Oreochromis niloticus: one gene and its partners. The protein of the gene in region 1 interacts with the protein of each later gene in a biochemical or structural test. Links are inferred from orthologs where the notes say so. Each region holds a gene or a part of one and is shown in the gene's direction. Other genes may lie near its edges.

Region 1 (7,712 bases):
GCAGAGAAAGTCTTTCATACCACATGCTGTACACATGTGCCAAATAATGATAGTCATTACTTCAACTGATGTAACAAAAGAATTTCCCAAGTAGAGGATAAATATTTATGATCTCGTCTGTGCCAAACATTTACTACATGTTGTTTTATACATATGGGTCCATAAGTAGTATAATACTTAGACACTGACACAGTTTCTGCACACTGTCGTATTGTATTTTAAATCAGTGAAGTGCCAACTTTCAGCTTTTAATTTAAGAGATTTAATAAAAGCATGGCGGAAACTGTTTAGGATTTTCACTCATTTTTATACATAGTTCAGCGCTTCAGATCTTTGTGTTTAATTTGCATTGAAAAAATGAGGAGACAGACTTAATCTGGCCAGGAAACTACTTGTTAGTCACTTGTCCAATTACAGTTGAGTCTCTGAAAATAGGGGGCTTTGTATAAATTGTAGTACTTCTGTTAAACTCACCAAATCCAATCTATCAGTCTGCACTTAAATCACATTTTGATTGTTGAATGTTAAAATCCACTGTGGTGGTGTACAGAGGCAAAATTACAAAAAATGTGTGTTTTTTCCAAACATTTTCTTTGCGCTTTGTCTTTCAGTCTTGAAGCCACATCCACCCCAATTATATCAGAAGGAATACATGCATGGTCTGCTCCTCTGTCTATCAAGAGTCAGGCAGATGACAGCCCTCTGTTGCGCTCTCTGTCCCCTGTTCTACCCCTGAGCCAGTCGAGTCCAGGTAGAGGACAAGAGGTGTCCCTGGCCAATGTATTTGTCCCTCTTGATACCATCAAGCCAAGTGAGTTCACCAAGTGGGCTTTACTGACTATATGTTTATCTCTAAGTGAAGGTTTTTGTAGCCTGTTGGAGTGTATGCTCAGGGTCCCTGACAAGATAAATTTGAGGTCAAATCAGATCATCTGATGTCTTTCTGGAGGTTTTCAGTGATGGAAAAATGGTGTTTACTCTATTAAGCACTTAACACTATTTTTAGTCCTTAAAACCTATTGGAAATATATATTTCTAAAGTAGATTTTTCACTGAAAAGGACCAGTGTAAAAGCTGTTCAAAAAGAGCTTTATGTTCTCAAAATGTGAACATGTATTTTGTTTTTATTAGGACATTTTTGTTTTTCCAACCAGTAATTTAAAATGTTGGCTGCTGTTTGACCATCTGTCTACTTTGATAGCAAATTCTGTAGAGAGAATAATCACCTGAGAGATTTTGGGAAAGCATTCGTGCCTGTGTACTGCAGATGGTTCACTGACCTCCAGGTGTTTTTTGTCGAAACATAATTGTTAGATGGGAAAATGAACATTTCATCATTACTGATCATTACTGGTGACAGTGAAAAATTGAATAACAAATTGACAGTGAAAAACATATTAATACTGGAAATAAGATGGATTTTATCTTCTTATTGTGGTCTGAAATTAAGCATTGCAGCACGCACGAAAGGAACGATGTGCATGAAAGCAGAAACTTCTTCTAGCTGACTCAAATGACTGTGTTGAGGGTCGTGTGTACTGCCTTATCAGTTTATGAAGTAATCTCAGTTTATTCTTTTTCTTTGCGCTACCTACACTTTTAGGTAAAGTGTGCCCAGTGACAGCTTATGATAAAAATGGTGTTCGTGTTCTGCTGCATTTCGCCACCGACTCTCCACCAGGCAGGCCGGATGTGCTGGTGATGGTGGCGTCCATGCTTAACACAGCCACTCAGCCGGTCAAGAACATTGTTCTGCAGGCTGCTGTGCCCAGGGTAAAACATGACGTGCATACGTAACACTGTTCCTGCATCATGAGATTAGATTTTTGAGAAAAAATCGAATTTAAGTGGGATGCAGCTTCTGTTTGATGTATGTGGATGTCTCTTCTGCCAATTTTCCAGACGATGAAAGTAAAACTGCAGCCACCCTCGGGTACAGAGCTGGCCTCTTTTAACCCAATACTTCCCCCTGCTGCCATCACTCAGATCATGCTGCTTGCCAATCCTCTCAAGGTAAAGCTCAGCCTTGAGCTTTTCTTGTGTTTGTGCATTTAAGCATTTATTTATTGACAGAGCGCTTACTCAGTTGAGCTGTTCATTCAGTAAAGAACGGTGAAACATCTTTTTACTGTCTTCCTTGTCAATCAATATGAGAATATAATGGTTAATGGCTCAGTGCGGTCCTTAACTGAAACATTCTGCTTTTATGTCTTGCAGGAAAAGGTCCGGATGAGATATAAATTGATATTCACCCTGGGAGAGCAGCCATTCACAGAAGTGGGGGAGGTGAATGATTTTCCACCTGTTGATAAATGGGGAGCTCTATAGCTCTGTAGGCTGATTGCTGTAAGACTACTTGATCGATTTGCTCTGCTGTGGTCAAAAGAAAGCAAAATATTAAAGCTTTCAGGCAGAGTTTGAGTATATGATAAACTTTGTTGGATTTCAGAGAGTTGAAGATGGTCTGCTGATGTAGCACAAATACAGCGCTAATTTTATTACGATACCAGAGGTAGTCAGTGTGATGCAGTAACTAACAAAATGAACTGTTTGAATGCTGATGGTAGTTGTTTGGTGAATTTTAAATATTGTTGTGCTTTCATTTTTTTTAGTACCCCTTTGATATAATTTTAATGTTCTTATTTGTGTCTCTGTTTTATTGGAGAATAGTTGCACTTTTGGAAACAAGGCAGTCTTGCATTAGAGGTTAAAATGATTGTGAAACTGTGGTTGTATGAACATGTGATCGCAATTTGAGTTTCACATGATTTCTTGATGACTGTGTAAGATTTTTAGAGTTGAGACGTCAGGCCAAAGCAAACAAGAGCCCCTCTTTTGCTCAAAAATCACTCCAATATTGGCTGACTGGAAATCGGTCGCTTCCAGTGTGGCTCAAAACTACAACTGAATACCTTTCTTCTGGGTTTTACAGGAAATCACAGCTCAGCCTGTTATATTCAGCACTAATATTTTTTAGCATTGCAGTATTTATTGTCATGAATGTATTTATTTTGGTTAGTGAGGAAGATATCACAACTCCTAACGAAATGTGTGGTGATGCAGCTGTCAGCTGTATCCTGCATTCCCCTTATTAATAGATACTTTGAGTATTGTATTAATAGATGAAAAGGTTAGTGTGATTTTCAGAGTCTGTAATGTTACCAAATAGTCATACAGACTTGTTATAAACGTTACATTATTTAGCAAACTAGAGATGGGCTTAACGAGGAAATTTAATTCATGTTGGAAGAAACGGCAGCCATAGGTCAAGGCCTAACCCTTGGGTAACTTACCATGTGTTCATACAGAATTGTGACCTCTTTGTCTTTATCTTTTTGGAGTTACATGTGCTGGAGGTTCTCTACATATTTCTTATAAGTTTATTTATTTGTCATATTGTTAAATTAACTTGTCATTGCATTTTTTGAACAACTACTTCTGTGCATGGATGAATAAAGCCTGGGATGGATTTTATTTATGTTAAACCTTTTAACATTTTAACATGACTTTGTTTTTGTTTTGGGTTTTTTGTTGTTGTTGTTGTTGTTTTTTTTAGTGTTCAAAATCGGTGTAAATGCAACTGAATGTATTTTCATTTTAGAATTGTTATCTCAGTTCCTTAAATTAACTTAAAATGTCTAAGGTACTCTAACGGGCCACATTTTCCCCCATTCAAAGTAATTGAAAATACAACTTTTGATCCTACATTTATTTTGACATTAACTAATTCATTCCTTTATGTTAAGGTTTGATTTTGGAGTACTCGCCTCAGTTTTTTATTTTTATATTTCCCCACCAGATGGTACTGCTTTTTCCCATTCAAAGCAAGTGGCAAAATGTCACTCTTCTTTTTTCTGCAAGGGTGCTTTGCTACTGAAATAAATGTTGTTGGATAATCGTATGTGAGAGAGAGAGAGAGAGAGATCCCCCTTCAAGTCTTTTCTCTTAGTTTATAATGCAGGGTGTGGCCTTTTAATTCAATAAGAGTAAATGTATTGCATTTTGAATATTGTATATCCAGAATGACTACTCCTGCAATTGCAATCATTTTGGATATGGTTGAAGCACTGACATGATTGACTTGTCCATCTCCATATTTTTGTATTCCCCAAATGTTTATCTCCCACTAACACCGCAACGGTCTACGAGTTTGAACCTGGGACCTGCACACCATGCCACCAGCTATGCACCGCTGCTGATTCTAAGTTGTGGCCCTGGGAAACACTCAGTGGTGTATATGGACACAGAGGAACAGCAGCCTTATATAGGGATGCTCATTACAGATGGTGTTTACAGGTCAACAAATTAATCAGTTCAACTCAACATAATACTAGATAATATTTTTACAGCCGTTTGTGGGAAGTTGCATTTTTTTTCATTGGGACCTAGAATATACACTGTAGAAAAAATAAGAATGCATGAAAATCAATGTTTCTGCCAATCGTTAACCTATCTCAGGACCTGATAAAAATAATAGTCATATGCTCCCTGAAATGGATTTTATGTACCTCATGTTGTTGTTTGCTGTATGTGAAGTGCATTAATATAACCAAACAACGTCCTTGATGTGCATTTATTCATTTTGCAATGCCAGATGGTAAGTACGAACTACAGATACAGTGCCTCTACTCCCAGATTATATGTATCTAAACTTCGCTTAATAATTGTTATTAACTTGACGATACTGGAGCCATGAACTATATTGCTGTTAAGTCAAACGCGGGCTCTTCGCTCACTGCAGCCGACGCAAAGTGGCGCGCTAGACTGCGCAGTCGCAGCAGTAGCAGAACAGGCGAGACGCAGGCAGACAGTCCTCAGCAGCAGCAGCAGCCATGGCAGATGGAAAGCCCAAGGTGAGGATTGGACTTTAAATGCATCAGAGCCCATACAAAGTTGAATGTACACGGTAAACTGATGGAAAGCAGTTCGTACAATTACTTCGAATCGTATAACTCCAAAAACCGCTTCAAACATGCGCTAACTTTACGGTGTTTGTTAGGAAGCTAGCGGGTTAAGTTAGCATAATAAGCTAACGTGGCTAACCGACCCGATCCATTGGTGAAATAAAGAAAATATCAATATTTTCTGTAAAATAATTTTTAATCGGCACCTTTAAAATTTTGCCATCTGTATGACTAATGCACATGTAATGGGAAATAATCTAGTTATCCCATACCCGACTAGATTAAGCACCAGTTCAAGAAAAGTGAGTTAACGCTGAGACTGAACAGAGCAACATAAACGGTACAAAAAGGAACCTTTTGAGCAAAAGTCGTAATGTGCAAACGAATCTTAGATTGTAAATAAAGGGTTCCGTTGTACTGACTCGCCAGCCATAAGCCTGGGTAAAGAGATAAGGGTTTTGTTAATAGCACAAGTGGAATAATTTGAATCTTTGCTAGGCCGCAGTGCATCTTGTTGTATTGAAGGCCATTGTTGCTTGAGTTGCCTACAGCTAATGCTAACGTTGAAGTTGTAAATCCAGTCCTCATTGCTCTCGGTACCCACGCTAGTCTTCAGCTCTACGCACATCAGGCAGGCAGTTGTCGCGGAGGATAAAACAAACAAGCAAAAAACGTAAATCCACGCACATATTGTGAACTTAACTTTTGTTTGAAGACAATGAGGTATCGCTGAGATATGCAAAACACCTATGACTCGGAATTTGTAATGGCGGGCGCAGTTTCTTGTAAATCGTCACACCTCCCCCTTTTTTCTAAATAGTGTGACTTTCTATGAACTTGTTTTCTGTCTTAGGAGGGAGTAAAGACGGAGAACAACGAGCACATCAACCTGAAGGTGGCAGGACAGGATGGCTCAGTGGTGCAGTTTAAGATCAAAAGGCACACTCCTCTCAGCAAACTGATGAAAGCTTATTGTGAACGGCAGGTGAGACTGGGACACAATTGTAACTTTTTTTAGAAGTATCTTTAAGTGTATTGCTGGTCATCTGAAATTGATCATTCATAAGCAAGAGACCACGAAATTGACATTTAAAAATACATGGTTCTTGCCAAATCAGAAATGGGGTGGGGGGGGAGGGGGGTATATTTGGACATCCAACAAGGTAAACCTTCCAAAAAAATTTAATTTGCTTAATTTACTTATGCTTAGAATATGTTTCTGTATATCAGATGGCCTAAAATAGAAGGGTAATGCAAACATCTGTTAACTATGGTAACAAGGCTTTTTTTGCTTTAACTATATCCAGAGTTTTTGGTTTGACCCTAAAGAAGCAAATCTTTGTTTTCATTTTGTCATTACTCACATGGTACCCGGAAAAGTTTGGCGGAATCCACACAACCTTAAATTTATCTGGAAGTTAAGAGTCTTAAAAACACCTCAGTTCTACTGTAGACATATTAGGTGTGCAACATCAGTCCTCCCCATCTAATGCGCAGCACACACTGAGACAGTTACACCATTTTGCACATCTGCTATAGTGAAAATAACAAAGTTTTGCAGTTAAAACTAAAATGTCAATCATATATATTTAATCTTTACAATATTCTGGATGTTTATAAATTGTGTTATTTGTATACGTTAGAGCTATTTCTCATGTATGTAACTTTGTAATATATTGTATTTAATTTTAGACAGTCTGTTACGGTTCTAATGGTCTTGGAGCAAGTTTAACCACATAATTTCCTTTTGTCCCACCCTTTTTATTTCCATCAAATTTTGAAGGGGTTTTTTGGTTAAGCAGTCAGTAGGGAAAGATGGTTTTCCTGAAACAGGAGTCATTGCAATTCACAGTCGGTGTTTTAAACCCGAGGTCACAAAAATACCTTGTGAAGTTTAAAAGTAAACATTTTGTTTTTCCACTCAGGGGCTGTCAATGAGGCAAATACGATTTCGATTTGACGGTCAGCCCATCAATGAAACAGACACACCTTCTCAGGTAAGTCTACATGCTCTTGTTCTTGTGCACTTTTGGAATCACTTTTCGTTATTGTGAACTACGGCTGAATAAACCTTGGCCCTCATAGTCTTGCTACTTTGGCTCTTACATCTCATATTAGTTGTTACATGTGAACTCAATGCATTATGTTACAGTACTCAAAATCCACAAACCAGTCAGCTGTTTGGGGCATTCCAGTAAAGTCATGGATTACCACATAGCTAATATAGGTCAGGCCAACATGATCCTTGTTTGTTTTGGTTTGGTTTAGGTTTTTTGTTTGTTTTTGCAGTCCCGAGATTGCATTTCAGCTGATATGTTTCCAGCATATACCATTTACTTTCATGAACTCAAAGAAGCAATAATTCTGCATTACAACTGTACTACAACTAAAACAAGAAAGAGATTATAATATTTACTGTTGTATACAGAAAAAGCATAGAGGTTTACTCAAAAGCACAGAGCCATTATGAACAGATCTAACTCCTTGTTGCATCTGCAGTACCCCTTTATGTCAGTGCAGAACATAATCTTTTTTTACTATGATGTTTAAAGGAAAACATTATGTCAAACACTGGGTGATAAATCAGGTAAGAAACAATACTCTGATACATTAAGTATAGTTATTCACATAACTGCTGTGGACACAAAAATTAAAGCCGCCCATGTCTCCACACATAAATTGGTGTTTCACACAGCTGCTCTACTAAGACTGCCAACCATATAAAGACACAGCAACCAAGACCTTGTACTCCAAAGCAAGTTCAACATACTCAGATCTCTGTTTCACTCGCCCTACCCTTGGTAGTCA
Region 2 (6,855 bases), on another chromosome or scaffold:
AGTTCAGCTGGGAGATTAAAGGTGCCGACGGGAAGTCCAAGACCCTGGATTCATTCAGCGTAACAGGCCACAGGCAGGCCTGGGACCGCACCTTCAGCCAGACCTCCCGGCTCGAGATCGACACCTCTAAGCTGGACCTGGGCAGAGGAGGGGAGCTCACCTGTGTGGCCGCCCACGCTGGAGGCACGAGACGGACCAGCGTGACCCTCAATGTCATTGGTAATGTGAAGCAAACCTGGAAGACAAGCAAGCAAATTAACAGCTCAGTTTATATCGAGTTAAAGCAGTTTTTATACACCTGGAGAAGGTACTAATGATGAAATAGAGAGAAGAAAGGTAGAATAGTATAGAAGGGAAACTGATATAAGAAAAGATATTTCCACTAACAAAACACTTTCCTTTAAATGAGGCTTATTAGGTTAGTATCACATATAAATGACTAAATATTTAACTATTTAAATAATCTTGAAACATGTTTACCTGGATAACTTTTGATGTAGTTCAACACATTCTTAGATTTAAGTAAACAGTTTGAATCACCAGCTTCTGGATTTAAAACAGTTTGATTTTTGTTAATCACCAAGTAACCATGTAGTACCATTAATGACCCACTGTGATATTTTATTTCTAAAAACAGAGCTAAAGTAGTAGATTTACTGCATCACAAACCTTCAGACTTACCTGAACTGTTGCATTAAAGTAATAATTAATGACATTAGAACATTTTAGTATATCTGTTATAGATGAATGAAGCAGCACAGATATGATAAACACCATGAGAGCCATTAAATAATTATTTCTGTTAGTACCTGAAATGGCTCGGTTGGGTGACAAACATGGGAAGGGCTTTGTGAAATAACTCTTAAAGGTTGGATATTGAAGTATATATAATACTGTGCAAACGTTTTAGGCAGCTGTAAACAAAGAATACTTTCAAAAATGGAAGTGTTAATCATTTATTTTCATTAACCAACAAAATGCAGTGAATGAGCAAAAGGGAAATCTAAATCAAATCAATATTTGCTGTGACCACCCTTTGCCTTCTTCTAGGTACACTTGCATTTGTACCGAGTTTTTGAAGGAACTCGGCTGGTAGGTTGTTCCAAACATCTTGGAGAACTAACCACAGATCTTCTGTGGATGTTGGCTTCCTCACATTGTTCTGTCTCTTCATGTAATCCCAGACACACCTGATGATGTTGCGATCAGGGCTCTGTGGGGGCCGTACCATCACTTCCAGCACTTCTTGTTTTTCTTTACACTGAAGATAGTTCTTAATGACTTTGGCTGTATGTTTGGGGTCGTTGTTCTGCTGCAGAATACATTTGGGGCCAATAAACAATCATTTATATTTTTGAAAGCATTCTTTGTTTACAGCATTTTTTCACACCTGCCTAAAATGTTTGCACAGTACTGTAAGAATGATTTAACTGATATTAACAAACTTATTCAGATCAGATAAATCCTAACGATCTTTTTTCCTTTTCAGGGTTCAGTTCTCCGTCCATCGAGGACTCTATGGCGATGGTCGGCGTGGCGCTGGTGCTTTATGGGCTCATCAAGTTTGTCTCGTGGACGTTTACCAGCTCAGGTAGCAAATATTGACACAAAAATATCTAATGACAGTTTTAATGTGTATTGAAGTTTTTTTTTAATCATTTCAAGCTGGAGAAAATCTTGTTACCTTTTGGATCAAATAAAAAATAATGTGTAATATATTTCAAAAAGTAAGATGTTTATTAAATTCTGTGCCTGACTTTTTGTTTTTTAATTTGTATTTCTCTGTAAATAGGCTCAGCTGAGGCTGATAAACAAGATAAGGTAATGTCACTGTTATATTTACTGCAGACAAACATTGAAATGTGTTTACAGAAATCTCTTATTAATTTAGTTACCTACTGTATGTTTCATCACCCTGGACGTGGTGCTTCTTGGTGTTTCCTCTGAATTTAATTTTACAATTTTTTCCCATCACAGAAAGAGAAGTGAAGATGAAAGAAGGCGACTGACCATCAGTGGCAATAATCCACTCGATATGTTTGATGGGATTTCAGGAGGGGCTTTCCACATGTTCATGGGACAGATTATTTCTTTTTCTTTTCTTTTTTTTACTGCTCTGGTTTGGAGGTAAACTTGTATGTTTTATGCTTGTTTTTAGCAAATTTGTTTATTTTAAAACGTTTGGATTCAACTTTTTGTTCTTTAGAAAGGAACAGGGTTATCTCGAAGAAGCTGAGCGCAAACACTTTTCTTGTGACGTTTCTTTAATCATTCTTTATAGAGCTGTGTGGTTCTGCCTTCCTCTGTTTATGGTTTATATGTCGTCACAAACACTGGAAAGAAAAACTATGAGAGGAAGTTTGGAGTGATGTGTTGAAACATCAGCTTCTGTTTTTTAAAGGTTAATTCTTCCATTCGATGTTCCCGTCTATCTAAAAACCTCATTAACTCACACTTTTTGGAACCAGAGATCGGACTGTACTTGTTGGTTTATAAAGAAAAGGAGATGCTGTTTTAATTAAGTAAAAATTATTAGACTAATAATAGACTCATTATTTTAAAAATAATATTTATAATAATAATAATAATAATAGACTGTTCAAATTGTCCGTCTTATTTTTGTCCTTTTTGTAAATATGGAGATTGTATTTCTGTTTTCATATTGTTTTTAGGTGTGTTTGTATTTTTCTTCATCACATGCTTGCCCCGGCTAATAAACATTAAATCTGTGACTGAAACTGAGATTTTACAAACAGAGCACAAAATTCTGCTGTAAGGAAGATTTTAAATTAGCATCTGATTTAAACGGACTCTGAATTTTAATTAAATAAAAAAAATCTCTTGAAACACACCAAATAAGTCCTCTTCTTGTTAAACACTCTGCTCTTGTACACACTTTAAACCACACATTCACTCACACTTACTGGTCACTTCATTGGGTACACCTTAATAATACTGGGTTAAATACTTTTTTGTCCTCAGAGCTGCTTTAATTCTACATGGAATAGATTCAATAAGGTGCTGCAAATATTCTTTTGAGATTCTGGTCCATATTTACATGTTAGCATCACACAGTGTCCATGGCATGTTTCTGTCGTTCTGCTACATCCCAGAATTGCTCTATTTGATTGTAACTTGGTGACTGTGGAGGCCATTCGTGTACAGTGAACTTATCCTCATGTACAAGAAACCAGTTTGCAATGTTTTGAGCTTTATGACATAGTGCATAAGTCTGCTGGAACCAGCCATTTAAAAATGGCTACACTGGTAACAAAGGGATGGAAATGGTTAGCAACAATACTCAGGGAGCCGATGGTGTCTAAACAATACTTTGTAACAAGGGGCCCGAGGTTCATCAGGAAAATTATACCCCATCACCAGCCCGAACTGTAGACAGACAGGATGATCCATACTTTGATGCTGTTGACCCTAAATTCTGATCCTCCCATCTGAATGTTACAGCACAAATCATGACTTGTCAGAGCAGAAAACGTTTTTCCAATATTCTGCTGTGTAGTTTGGTAAAGTAGTGTGGTAAAATCCAAGCAGATCAGCATTTTCTAAAATATTCAGAGTCAGACTGGCCCCCTACCAGTCTACCCCCTACCACGTTGAAAGTAGCTTAAACCATCTTTCTTCCCCATTCTGAATCTCACATTGAACTTAAACACAAAATAACAGTAAATCTGATAAAAGTTCAAAATATAAAAGTACTAAATGTAAAACAAAGAAGCTTTATAAAGTCAATTAAGTACATTCAAAGAAATAATAAAAATAATAGTAGAACGGTACATGTCAGCAGCTGTCCAATGGGAAATGGCATTACTCATCGTCACGAATCTGTCGTCCAATCAGAGGCGTTGATGTTGAGCGGAGTTTAGCGGGTACATTTTCGATCTCGATTCGATAGCACAGCTAAGTGAAGGGGCATTGTTTTGATGAAGAAGATCCAGTCTGATAAAAACGAACGAGATTAGAGGTTATCTCGGGTTTGTTTACCCGGTTCGCGAGGCGATGAGAGCGTAACTCGACTTTTTTTCTGGCAGGTTATTTTTTTACTTAGAAAAGTCCGAATGCTAACTAGCCTCCAGAGCTAACGTCAGCTAACTAACTGGAGTGTTGTGATGTCCTGCGGCGGTGCAACGTTTTCTAGTTTCGTTGTTAACTCCAGCAGCTCGTAGAGAACAGGTCGGTGTGTATCCTACTGTCTCATTATTACGGTGTGCGTGGGCGTGCTTTATTTAACCTTCTGTCTTAAGTTTTCCACCTGTAATGTGCTGTCTGTGTCATCGTGATTAGTTTCACTTTCATGTGTTTGGAAACTGCTATCCCCTGTTTGTTTTCCTATTTTCCGAGTAAACACAGCGAAACGATAACGCTGATCAGCCGGCTTCTGTAGCCCTAAATGAAGCATCAAATTCACAAGCTCGATGCTTCTGTGTTAAGGCTCTAATATGGACGCAGGAGTCTGCCTTCCAGTTATTGAAGTTTAACTGGTGATAGAAAATGGTGGCATGTAAATCACAGGTTCACACATCCTCAGATGAATTGTCTAGGCAACGGGACATTGTTGAAAGCAGTCAACTGACATGACTTTGGAGACTTCTGAGGGCCACAAAGGTATTTTGGCAGTCATTCCAGAAATCCATTACCCAGCTTGGGAATTTGAGTGATCATGCCCCTGTTTCAGGAAGCTATTTGCTCAGATTAAACTGTTTTTAAAAAAAAAATCCCAATATGAGGGATCCTCAGTCAGAGCTGATTTAAACAACGTAAGACTTTGATAACATGCCATGAACCTAACCAGGGGCCTCTTCTATGAAGCAGGATTTGGGGCATAGTGAGGGGACTTCAGGTTAACCCCAGTTTTTAAACCTTTCAAAGGTGCTTCATCTATTATCAGGTAACTATGCTGATCCACAGTAGGTTTTGTTAAAGAAGAGTAGCATACATATAGAAAACCAGTACCTACTGACCATCATTCTGATGTTCTGGTGAGCATCAGTAAAAAATATGGATTTTTATACGCAGCTTTATTCCTGCTTTTTCCCTTTTCACTGCAAGCAATGTTTAAATTATTTCATTCCTTTATACGTGGGTGCAGCTGAAACTGTCTCACACACATCTGCACACTATAGTGTTGATTTTACAAACTAAAAAATTGTAATTATACTTCAGATCCTCCCGTGTCTTTATGGTGGAGCTGTGAAAGTGACAACTTTGTTAATGCGCACAAATGCATGTGTTCAGCTTTCGTTCCTGACTTTAAATTGACTTTTTTGATATTGGACTTTTCCACACATTAATGTAGCACTTTTGAAACATTTCCTCGTACAGAAACACAGTAATTCTATCTGTGGCAGCTGTGGTGCGTTCAGCCTTACTGTGTGTTACTCTTCATTTTGTGTTCTGACATCATAATTTGTAAAGGGAGTCACTCTGCAGTCATTAGACTTGTCTTTGTTTCAGATCTTTCATGTGAATATGACCTGAAACTGGTTCTCTTTGAAACCAGATAAAAATATCCTGGGTTTGTTGAACCCGGTTCACAGTGCAGGTCCCTGCTTTGGTATTTAAATGATCAGAAGTGCCCACATGGCCAGAATCTGTCACTTTTTTCTTTGTGCCAATGTAAATATCGTACAGATCTTGAAAACACTGAAGTTCTGATGCTTGTGTGTCATTCTGTTCTGGTCTCATTCTGCCTGTTTGTATTTTAGAAAGCCGGCGTTTTGGATGGCGGTGGCTCCTGCCTGGATGGCAGACAAAATCATTGTGCTTGATGAGGAAGACAAAGAAGAAGAGAGTCCTCAGCCCTCCTCCTCTGCCTCCAAATCAAGCCCTGACCTTCAAGCCAAAAATGTCTCGCCGCTCAAAGCTCAGCAGCCAGTGCCCACACACATTACCCAGTCACCCTTCGCTACAGCGAAGAAGACCACGCAGTGTCTGCAGGCAGAGAATCAGAAGTTGTTCACTGAGGTGAGTTTATATGATGTTCCAAAGTTCATGTTAAACATGACCAGAACTTAAAATAATGACATTTATGCAGAAGTATTTCATGTGTATCGGACTTCAGACTTCTCTAAATGCTCAGTTTTCTGTCTGGGTGACATTGACTTAAAATCTTATCTGTGTGTTTCTAGGCTAATTGTTGAAACATGATATATTTAAATGTTGACTTTTAAATCAAATTAACAAGTGAGATGATCCATGTTTCCCAAATAATACTGTGGGAAACTCAGTGGTGTCATCAGTTAGTTCCTCATTGAGCAGATCAACTGCACTCTTCTAGACTGCAGCTGGTGGTCTTTACCACACCTGTAGGGGAAACACAGGAAGGTCCACAGCTCGCTTGTCACCAGTAACACAGCTTTAAAAATAAGAGGGGATTGTATTGTGGTGAATGTGTTATATGTTGTCTCATAGTGATTCAGTAAATGCAAATTCCTGAGTACAGTCTAGTTTTGCAGAACATCGTTCCATGGAGTTTATCCCAGCATGAGGTGAAGTGCATCCTACAGCTCTCCTCCACTGGGTGCAAAACAACTTTATTAAAACAGTCATTTAAAAAAACATGTTTAGTATTTGAAAGTTGATAAGACCATTTTTGTATATTTCATTTTGATATATAAAAAAACAACAACTATAATAAAATAACAATAAAATAATGAAGAAGAAAAAACTATAATAAAAATAATGTTCAATTATTATTATTTTTTTAATTTGGCTTGTATGACAGTCTCGTTAATAGTGACAGGTTTTTTGTGTTTGTTTAAGAAATGAACTGATGGGGTGGGTGAGGTTGCTTTAGTTGGAGAGTGTACTGTGAGAGGATATAAACGCTAGCATTAAATA
Region 3 (7,932 bases), on another chromosome or scaffold:
TCGCCTCTTAAAGCTCAGCCAGCCTCCAGACAGAGATTTCCTCCATCTCGTCGGTAATTTATCATAACTATATTATCATATTTACTGTGTTTAACTTATAATCAAATCATTAAAACCACATTTTGGGAACAACACTTGAGAAAATAGAGAAGCTTTACAGAAATAAGACACATTTACGGGTCATGCTTCCATCTTCTCAAAAGGCCGTCCTTACTTTACTGCTTTTCTCTCTGTCTCTCACTACATTTATCATTTTCATTTATCAGACTTGTTTTTTAATCATCTGTCCACTGAGGATTCAACAATCTTCAGTCTGCCTTTTTAATTTTTCTAATGCAAAAGTAAAGTCACTGTTTCAAAAAGCCACTCGCATTTTTCTCTTTCAGGCTAAATATTAAGTCAGAACAGAGGACATCTGACACTAACTCTGACTGAAAAGCAGGAGCCTCGGACGTTATTGCTCAGGATATGACTGGTGTGCGTGTATCTGAAAGGGCGGCAGTTTTATGTGTTTCTAGGAAAGTTCATCCATGTGTGTTATCGTTTAATATTTAGTTCATTGCTGTTCAGTTTGTAAATGCGATGCTTCGGCTCTTTAAGGGTTCAACAAAAAGTTGAAGAGGTCCCCCGGAGGACTTACCCATGTCGTCAGAGTTATGCACTGATTCCTTTACCTTTGGACTATGAAGCTCTAATATGCTCACTAAGTGACACCACCGGTCCCAGTTACTGCAGTGTCGCACCAAACTGTCCTGAATGCACTCAAACACTAAAATGGTTTAACAGCAAACACCTTCTGTTCTTTTTTTCCTTCCAGTGTATTTTACTGATTTTATTGTTTTTAAAGGATGAGACTCATCTATGGACCAGTTTGTTGGTCTGGAGAATTTAGCGTTAACACAAAAAACAGACACAGCATATCTGCACAAACACTTCCTGCTAACTGTCAAGCACGGCGGTGGAGGGGTGATGAGTTGGGTTTGATTTGCAGCCAGGACTTGGGCACCTTGGAGTCACTGAATCATGTATGAAATCCTCTGTCCAATTTCAGATAAAAATTTTAGCTGAAACTGAATGTCACGACAGGACAAATGACCACAAGCACAGCAGCAATGACCATTTCAGACTCAAGACTTCAACACGGCTGAAACGCAGGGACCTCAGAGATCTGTGCACAAACAAATGCCCGTAGACCTTGCTGGTAAAGATGGTCCCACAACCTAATGTATCGTGGATGTATCAGGTCAGATTGTAACTTTAATTGAATTGGTAGGTTTCATGCTGTAAGGCAGGGGTGGGCAACTCCAGGCCTCGAGGGTTGGTGTCCCGCAGGTTTTAGATCTCACCCTGGGTCAGCACACCTGAATCACATGATTAGTTCATCACCAGGCCTCTGGAGAACTTCAGGACATGTTGAGGAGGTCATTTAGCCATTTAAATCAGCCGTTGGTTCAAGGACACATCTTAAACCTGCAGGACACCGGCACCGAGGCCTGGAGTTCCCTCACCCCTGCTGTAAGGCAAAAAAAAGGGTTAAATGTGACTAACAGGGGGTCACAATTTATTTGTTGTAGGTTTTGTAGCTTTAGTGATATAAAGATTTGGAAAAGCACGTCCAAGCTTATTTTTAAGCTTTCTGAGGTGAGGGGGGGTTGTGGCTTCCTTAGGGGGAAACTACATTAGTCTCTTATATAATTGCCTGTAAGAAGGATTTCTAATTACTCTTGAAGCGAGAGCTGCCAAACTGTTACACGCTTATAAATATTCCTCTTAGGATCTACATGTGTTCGCAATTCCACAGTAGCGCATCTCGCATGACTTGCATAGCCTCTAGCTGGTATTGCATCATTTTTACACCATAACGTCTCTATCAAAATCTTTTTTGATACTTTCCACAGAAGCCATTGGAGCAGAAAGTGGTTCGAGGTGCCCAAACACATCAGCAAGTCTCGACTAGACGACAACACTGTTTGCAAACAGGACAGCCATCGACTTCCCAATAACATGGTGCAATGTTTAAGTCACACTTTAGTCAATCTACAACCATCCATTTGTGGCTTTAGGGTACAAGTGAGTGCGGCAGAAGCCACAGTGAGTAATCTTGGAAGAGCTGAGGAAATTTCTTTTTAACGCCATTAAGAAATGAGAGGGTATATTTTACCTCGAGGCTTATCTGAAGGATCGGCCTCACATGAGCCGAGTTTCCTGAATAGCTTTGCCAAGTGAAGTCCAGAAAAACATTTACACAGATACAGTAAGTCTTTCCTCTTGGAAAAGACCCCATACATGACCTGACTCACCGCTGCACTCAAACAAATGTTTATCTCACTGTTTACCCCTGCTCCGACCACCTGATTACACCCCCATTCTGACATTTCGGTCCCCCCTTTGTTTATACTCCTTCGCTAATTGGAACACTTTTTTGTGCTTTTTTTATGTTTGGACTCTTGGAAAGCCCAGCTGTCGCGCTCTAGTTCACCCACATAAAAAACAGTTTAACTGAGGTGATGTCATGACACAGCAGGACACCCGGTTGGAAGCGCGCTTGACCAAATATGGACACCGGATGTTAGGGAGATGACATAACTGCGAGGCGTCCTCACTGCCTGTAAGAAAACCTATTTTAAGTAATGTTGTTTATATATGTTGTTAAGATCCTCGTGACTCATGAAGGTCAGCGATGAAGTGATGATGTGAGTATTGGGCCTGGTGAGCTTTCAGTACAAACAACGGGCAACTTTTTGAACGCGTGGAATAAAGTGCAATGCAATGCAACCGCCACAGCAACACAGCCTCACAGAACATGATTGTTGTTACCAAAACAAAGGTGGAGGGAGCAAACTTTTCAAAGAAATGGGGAAGAAAAGGATGGAGGACTCAGTGGAGGATGAGAATGAGTAACACAGCTGGAACGGCTGCAGAAAAATAAATTACAGTGCACAGGAGGCTCCCACCTCCTACGTTTGGGTTGGTCCTATTGAGGTTTCACACGCTAGGCTCACTTTACTGAATGAAAGGACCGAAACCTGAAAAAATGTCAAGGATGGGGTAAGAGATGAGTGGCTAGATTTCCAAAAGATTAACTTGCTGCAAAGTTCTTTTGAAGTACTCTCACCTTTGATGAATTTAAGTAAATGTACCCATAACCATGAATCACATCTGTTTAAATTCAAACACCACAGGCTGGAGTGTCCATGCTCCTAACTTTAATGCTGATGACAAGTCCTGACAACTGTCGGTATGGCTGACTCAGATTAAGAGGTTTTCACTGTAATGTTGCTGCAGCTTACTGTACGCGTTGGTATCCAGGCGTGACAGCAGACTGTCAGAAAATAGCTCCGCTGCCTGCAGCAAAAGTTTGCCATAAAACTTCTCATGTTCACGCTTTTGTCTCATGGAAGTCTCATTTTCATTATGAACCAACGAGCCACTGAGGTATTTGTCCAACTAGTCTCAACAGTTTCTGAATACCAACAAGGTTTATGTCACAAAGGGACACAGTAAAATGTCTGAAACTGAGACTTCTGAAGAAATTCCACCCAAGAGCACTAAGTGAAAGTGTAAGTGGCTGTGTAACAAAAGAAAGGAAAAAACACACAGCTACACACAAAAAATGCAAACATTCACACTTCAAGCTTTTACAATTAATTAAATGTGCTGTGTAATACGGAGCATGAAGCTATGAAGGGTGTACTGAAAGATAAGATTAGCTCTGGGGCTGAGAGACATCATTGCTTCTGTATGGAGCAAAGGAATCACGTTTATAAAGATATTCAAGTTATTATTGTAAATCCAAAAGGACACAAAGCAAAACTTGCATCATAATCGGCAGCTAGCTAGATCGATAGATATATAGATTACATGTACATTTTCCATATAATTTTGTTATATGAGTGAAATGTAAAACGTTAAATGTAATGGAATCTATTCAAATATAATCTTTACACATTCAGTTTCCACCTAAAACAAATTCCTTAATGATTAATTATGATTTTTTATTGATTTCATATGTTTCAGCTGCATTTTATTATCATTATTATTATCTATTTTAAAAATGTTGGCCCATGTTTCTAAGGGTCAACGATCATTTTTTAAGTGTAAAAGTTAAACACCTATCAAGACCCACACCTTTTTATAGATGCAAACAAAAATACAAACTGAACTTTATACAGGCTGCCTACATTCACATACCTACAGATATGCAAGCATACTAATAATAATGGAAAATAGTGATATCCAGTCAAGCAGTCAACGAATTAATTAACGAGCCAGTGTATCCTTTTATTCTTTCTGCACAGCACCACCCTCACTATCCTTTAATTATACTAAAGAGACTTTTAAAGGCAACTTTAGCCCTATATTGGCTAGTCCAATATAGTCAATATAGTCCAGTTGTCTTTAAGCCTTCTGCAAATATTTTTTTAATGCCTCATGAGATTTGATTTGATGATATCGGTCATAACGTTATAAACCTTTGATTTCAATATACATATATATATATATATATATATATATATATATACATAATAATAACAGATATTTGATACCCGAATATACTATACTTGCACACGCGTACTTACCATTGGCTTTGAAAACAATCTTTTCTACAGTCATCGGTACGTTGGTACTTACATTGACGTCGATTTAGTGTGTTTTGGCGCCATCTGCCGGCCGTCACTGGCTAGAGTATCTGTATCCCGTAAACACCAGAGGTCACGAGGACGATTTTTTAAAAACTTAGACCTAGTTGCTAACACACGGTTTAAACATCGTGGAAAGGAAAGCGGATTTTTTTTCGTTTGTTTGTTTTGTTGTTGTTGTTGTTTTTTAGTTTTGTTTTTACAGCTTAAGAATTATTTTCAAGCGAGGTTTGTTTAGGTTGACTGAAGCGCTACCTCGCGTAAAAGAAATACATTTCCCATAATGCTTCAAATTATCAACTGCGCCTGCTCGTCTTGCAGTCGGAAAAATGGCGGCACTCCTGCAACAGGAGTTGGAGGCTTCCGAACTAACGAAGCTACCAAAAACAATTCAAAGTAAACTCGAGAAAATTGTTTCGGATCTGCGGTATGAAATCGATTCATTAAAAGCCCAACACGAGCAATTCCGGGTTGACAGCGGTAAGTTATTCCCTGTTATCCTGATAGCTAGCCGTGCTAAAGTGTTTGGCTTTGCTTACAGTGCATGCATGCCTGTTTTAAACCGTGCAATGTTAAAGCTCAGAAGTTTACTTTGAACGTATTGAACATAATAACCGTTCTTTGTTCATTACTTCATTTGTCCGTCAGGGGCTTTAAAATGTTGATTAGAACTAACAGGCGATGAAACTGCGCTCTTCCAATAACAAGAATAAGACGCTAGCTAATGCTAGCACTAGTTAACCCTCTGAGCTAACCACTGCTTTTGATAGCAAAAAAGAAGTAAATAAAGCAAGAAGGGGATGATTTTATCTTCTTGTCTTACCTGTTTGTGTTTACCTTCTTGTTACAGAGCAACAGTTCTTCGAAAAAGTTAAACAGCTTTCCCAATGTCAAGAAGAATTTCTGTCTCACACTCAAGAACATCTTAAACTCAAAGATGAGTTTAACAGACTTGGTGAGAATAATAAATTTAGGTTTTCTAATCGGACTCGGACTGATTCCACTTATGACTCCACAATGTTGACCTTTATTCTTTCCGCTGACTTTCATTTTTTTGCTGAAGGAGAGGAACTCCAAAGTGTTCGCGAGAAGAACCGAGAATACGAATCTGCACAACAGAGGTTGTCATCAGAGCAGGTAGGGAATCCGAAAATCACTGATAACCGCTTTGTTTTAAAAAATGTTTCTAACTGAGTTTAGTCTATCGGGAACTAGAGTGGTCATATGTCCTCTGGAGCCTGAGCATTTATTATTGCTGTCGGTGTAAGGTTCAGAGTAATTATGAACAGTTATAGAACAATCAGGCGTTTTTTAGCAAGAATATTTGTAAAAACTGTATGTATGGCAGGTGATCAAATTAAACATAACAATAGAAAAAGGTTTAACACAGTTTGACACCCAAGATTTAAATCCTCCTTGCGCTTATGCCATAACTTCCACGTTCAATATGAAAGGAGCCAATTCCTTCATTTTCATTAATAACACTGGATTGACCAATCAGATCTCTTAACGTGACCAGCCCCTCCCCCTACCGTCCTTTTGCACTCATGCACCTTGTAGAAGTTTCTTGATAATGAAAATATAAGTGTATAAAGGGAATGTATGCATCATTGAACTGCTTTGGATGCTTTAAGGATTTAAGATGTGCTTAATTTGTAAGTATTATAACACTAAGCACTCTGTTTAAATTAATGCATTTGTTTAGACTTTGCTGTCCAAAGCCAAAGATGAACTGGAGGCAGAAAAGCGAGAACTTGTGCGAACACTGGAGAGGAGATCCTTAGAAGTGGAGAACTTAAATGGTATGAAAAGATAAATTAATTATTTTTATATAACTTCATATGTATTGCATGTATATTTGTAAATGTAAACTCTCACCTCTACATAACAAAGTCATTTCTTTTGCTCTTCCAGATGACCTGAGGCAACTCAATGATAAGTTGGTGGAAGTGAACTCGTCAAAGATGACCCTGCAGATGAAGTTGGATGATCTCGAGGCAGCTGAAGTCAACATCAAAGTGAGTTGATATTTTCATGTAGATTTAATATCTTAACACCACCTGCGAGAGAAAGTTGTTTTCTGTTTTCCGTGGTTATCAGCAGATCACTGACTGAAGTTGTGATCATTTTCTAGTATAAGGAGAAACGAATGGAACAAGAGAAAGAGCTGCTGCACAGCCAAACAGCTTGGTTTAACGAGGAGCTGAAGGCCAAGAGTGAGGAACTGCTGTCCCTGTCCCGGCAGAAGGGTAACGAGATCCTGGAGCTGAAGTGTTCCCTGGAGAATAAAGAAGATGAGGCACGTCCTTTGTTGTTTTGGGGTTTTTTTGTTTTGTTTTTGTTTTTCTTTGAGATGTTGATGTCTGAAGAAGTTTGTCGAGCTAGCTCTGACTCAGAGATTACTTGTCTTGGTTTGTTACTTTGATCTCAGTGCTCATTGTGCCTTGAATGTGGACACTTCTTTATTTTGAGATGGGTTAGATCCTTATTTGACTTGTCATCTGATGCCATTTGTCTTTGTGATTTCTAGATGAAAAAACTCCAAGATCAAGTGACCAGTCTGAAGACATCAAACGAGAACCTTCAGAAACAAAACGAGGACATGATCAGCAAACTCAAAGAAGTATGTCTGTTTCCAGACAGTCATTCCTTTTTAATCAAACCCTTTGGTATTATGTAAACGTACATTATGATGAAGGCACTCGGAGTGAAAATGAATGGTTGGATTTTAACTTGTTTTAGGCCAAGGAGCAACACACCAGCATGGAGGAGAAGTTCCGAAATGAGCTCAATGCCAACATTAAGCTTTGCAATTTATACAAGGTATGTACACGTGCAAAATGAAACCATGTGGTGTGGTACTCTGCACTGCTGGACCATTATTTCCTGGTTTGCATTAGTAAATTATTACGTTACGTTATGATTGTAGCGCCCGTGATCAACAACTTCTATATTTGTTGCCAGAATCTTATTGTTTGTGTGTTTCTAGGCTAAATAAAATTGTTATAGGGAACTTGTGATTTTAAAAACTTGAACTTTGAGTGTTTACATATTTAATTAAAATGACAGTGGTTAAGCTTTATGTTTGTAAATGAAATGAATCCCTGCATGTATTTGCACGGCTTCTTTCCCAGTGTTTGTTATACTTCATCGTTTATTCTGGCAGGGAGCAGCTGCAGATTCTGAGGCCAAAAGCAAAGAGCTGAGTCAGGCGGTGGAGGAGCTGCACAAGCTGCTGAAAGATGCCGGTGAAGGTAAAAGGCTTGTCTGTAATCGTGTTTTCTATCCTAGA

What was found.
Region 2: the proteins of small ubiquitin-related modifier 2 (region 1) and daxx form a complex in vitro, tested with the Homo sapiens proteins (4 studies listed by BioGRID, with this or other methods). The link is inferred for Oreochromis niloticus from reciprocal best matches to the Homo sapiens genes SUMO2 and DAXX.
Region 3: the proteins of small ubiquitin-related modifier 2 (region 1) and tprb form a complex in vitro, tested with the Homo sapiens proteins (2 studies listed by BioGRID). The link is inferred for Oreochromis niloticus from reciprocal best matches to the Homo sapiens genes SUMO2 and TPR.

The regions. Positions count from the first base shown.
Region 1 is NC_031971.2:26,017,958-26,025,669, reverse strand, and holds the start of small ubiquitin-related modifier 2, read left to right. Parts: upstream 1-4,694; 5' UTR 4,695-4,832; coding exon 4,833-4,853; intron 4,854-5,757; coding exon 5,758-5,889; intron 5,890-6,829; coding exon 6,830-6,901; intron 6,902-7,712. Other genes in the region: ADP-ribosylation factor-binding protein GGA3a, read left to right, coding at 612-811, 1,604-1,773, 1,903-2,013, 2,218-2,328. UniProt on the Homo sapiens protein: Ubiquitin-like protein that can be covalently attached to proteins as a monomer or as a lysine-linked polymer.
Region 2 is NC_031985.2:8,769,943-8,776,797, forward strand, and holds the start of daxx (death domain-associated protein 6), read left to right. Parts: upstream 1-3,855; 5' UTR 3,856-4,192; intron 4,193-4,598; exon of another isoform or gene 4,599-4,620; intron 4,621-5,720; 5' UTR 5,721-5,736; coding exon 5,737-5,979; intron 5,980-6,855. Other genes in the region: tapbp.1 (tapasin), read left to right, coding at 1-219, 1,490-1,591, 1,793-1,821, 1,978-1,989. UniProt on the Homo sapiens protein: Transcription corepressor known to repress transcriptional potential of several sumoylated transcription factors. Down-regulates basal and activated transcription.
Region 3 is NC_031981.2:2,409,948-2,417,879, reverse strand, and holds the start of tprb (translocated promoter region b, nuclear basket protein), read left to right. Parts: upstream 1-4,932; 5' UTR 4,933-4,969; coding exon 4,970-5,120; intron 5,121-5,490; coding exon 5,491-5,595; intron 5,596-5,703; coding exon 5,704-5,777; intron 5,778-6,345; coding exon 6,346-6,442; intron 6,443-6,554; coding exon 6,555-6,658; intron 6,659-6,774; coding exon 6,775-6,939; intron 6,940-7,170; coding exon 7,171-7,263; intron 7,264-7,382; coding exon 7,383-7,463; intron 7,464-7,806; coding exon 7,807-7,894; intron 7,895-7,932.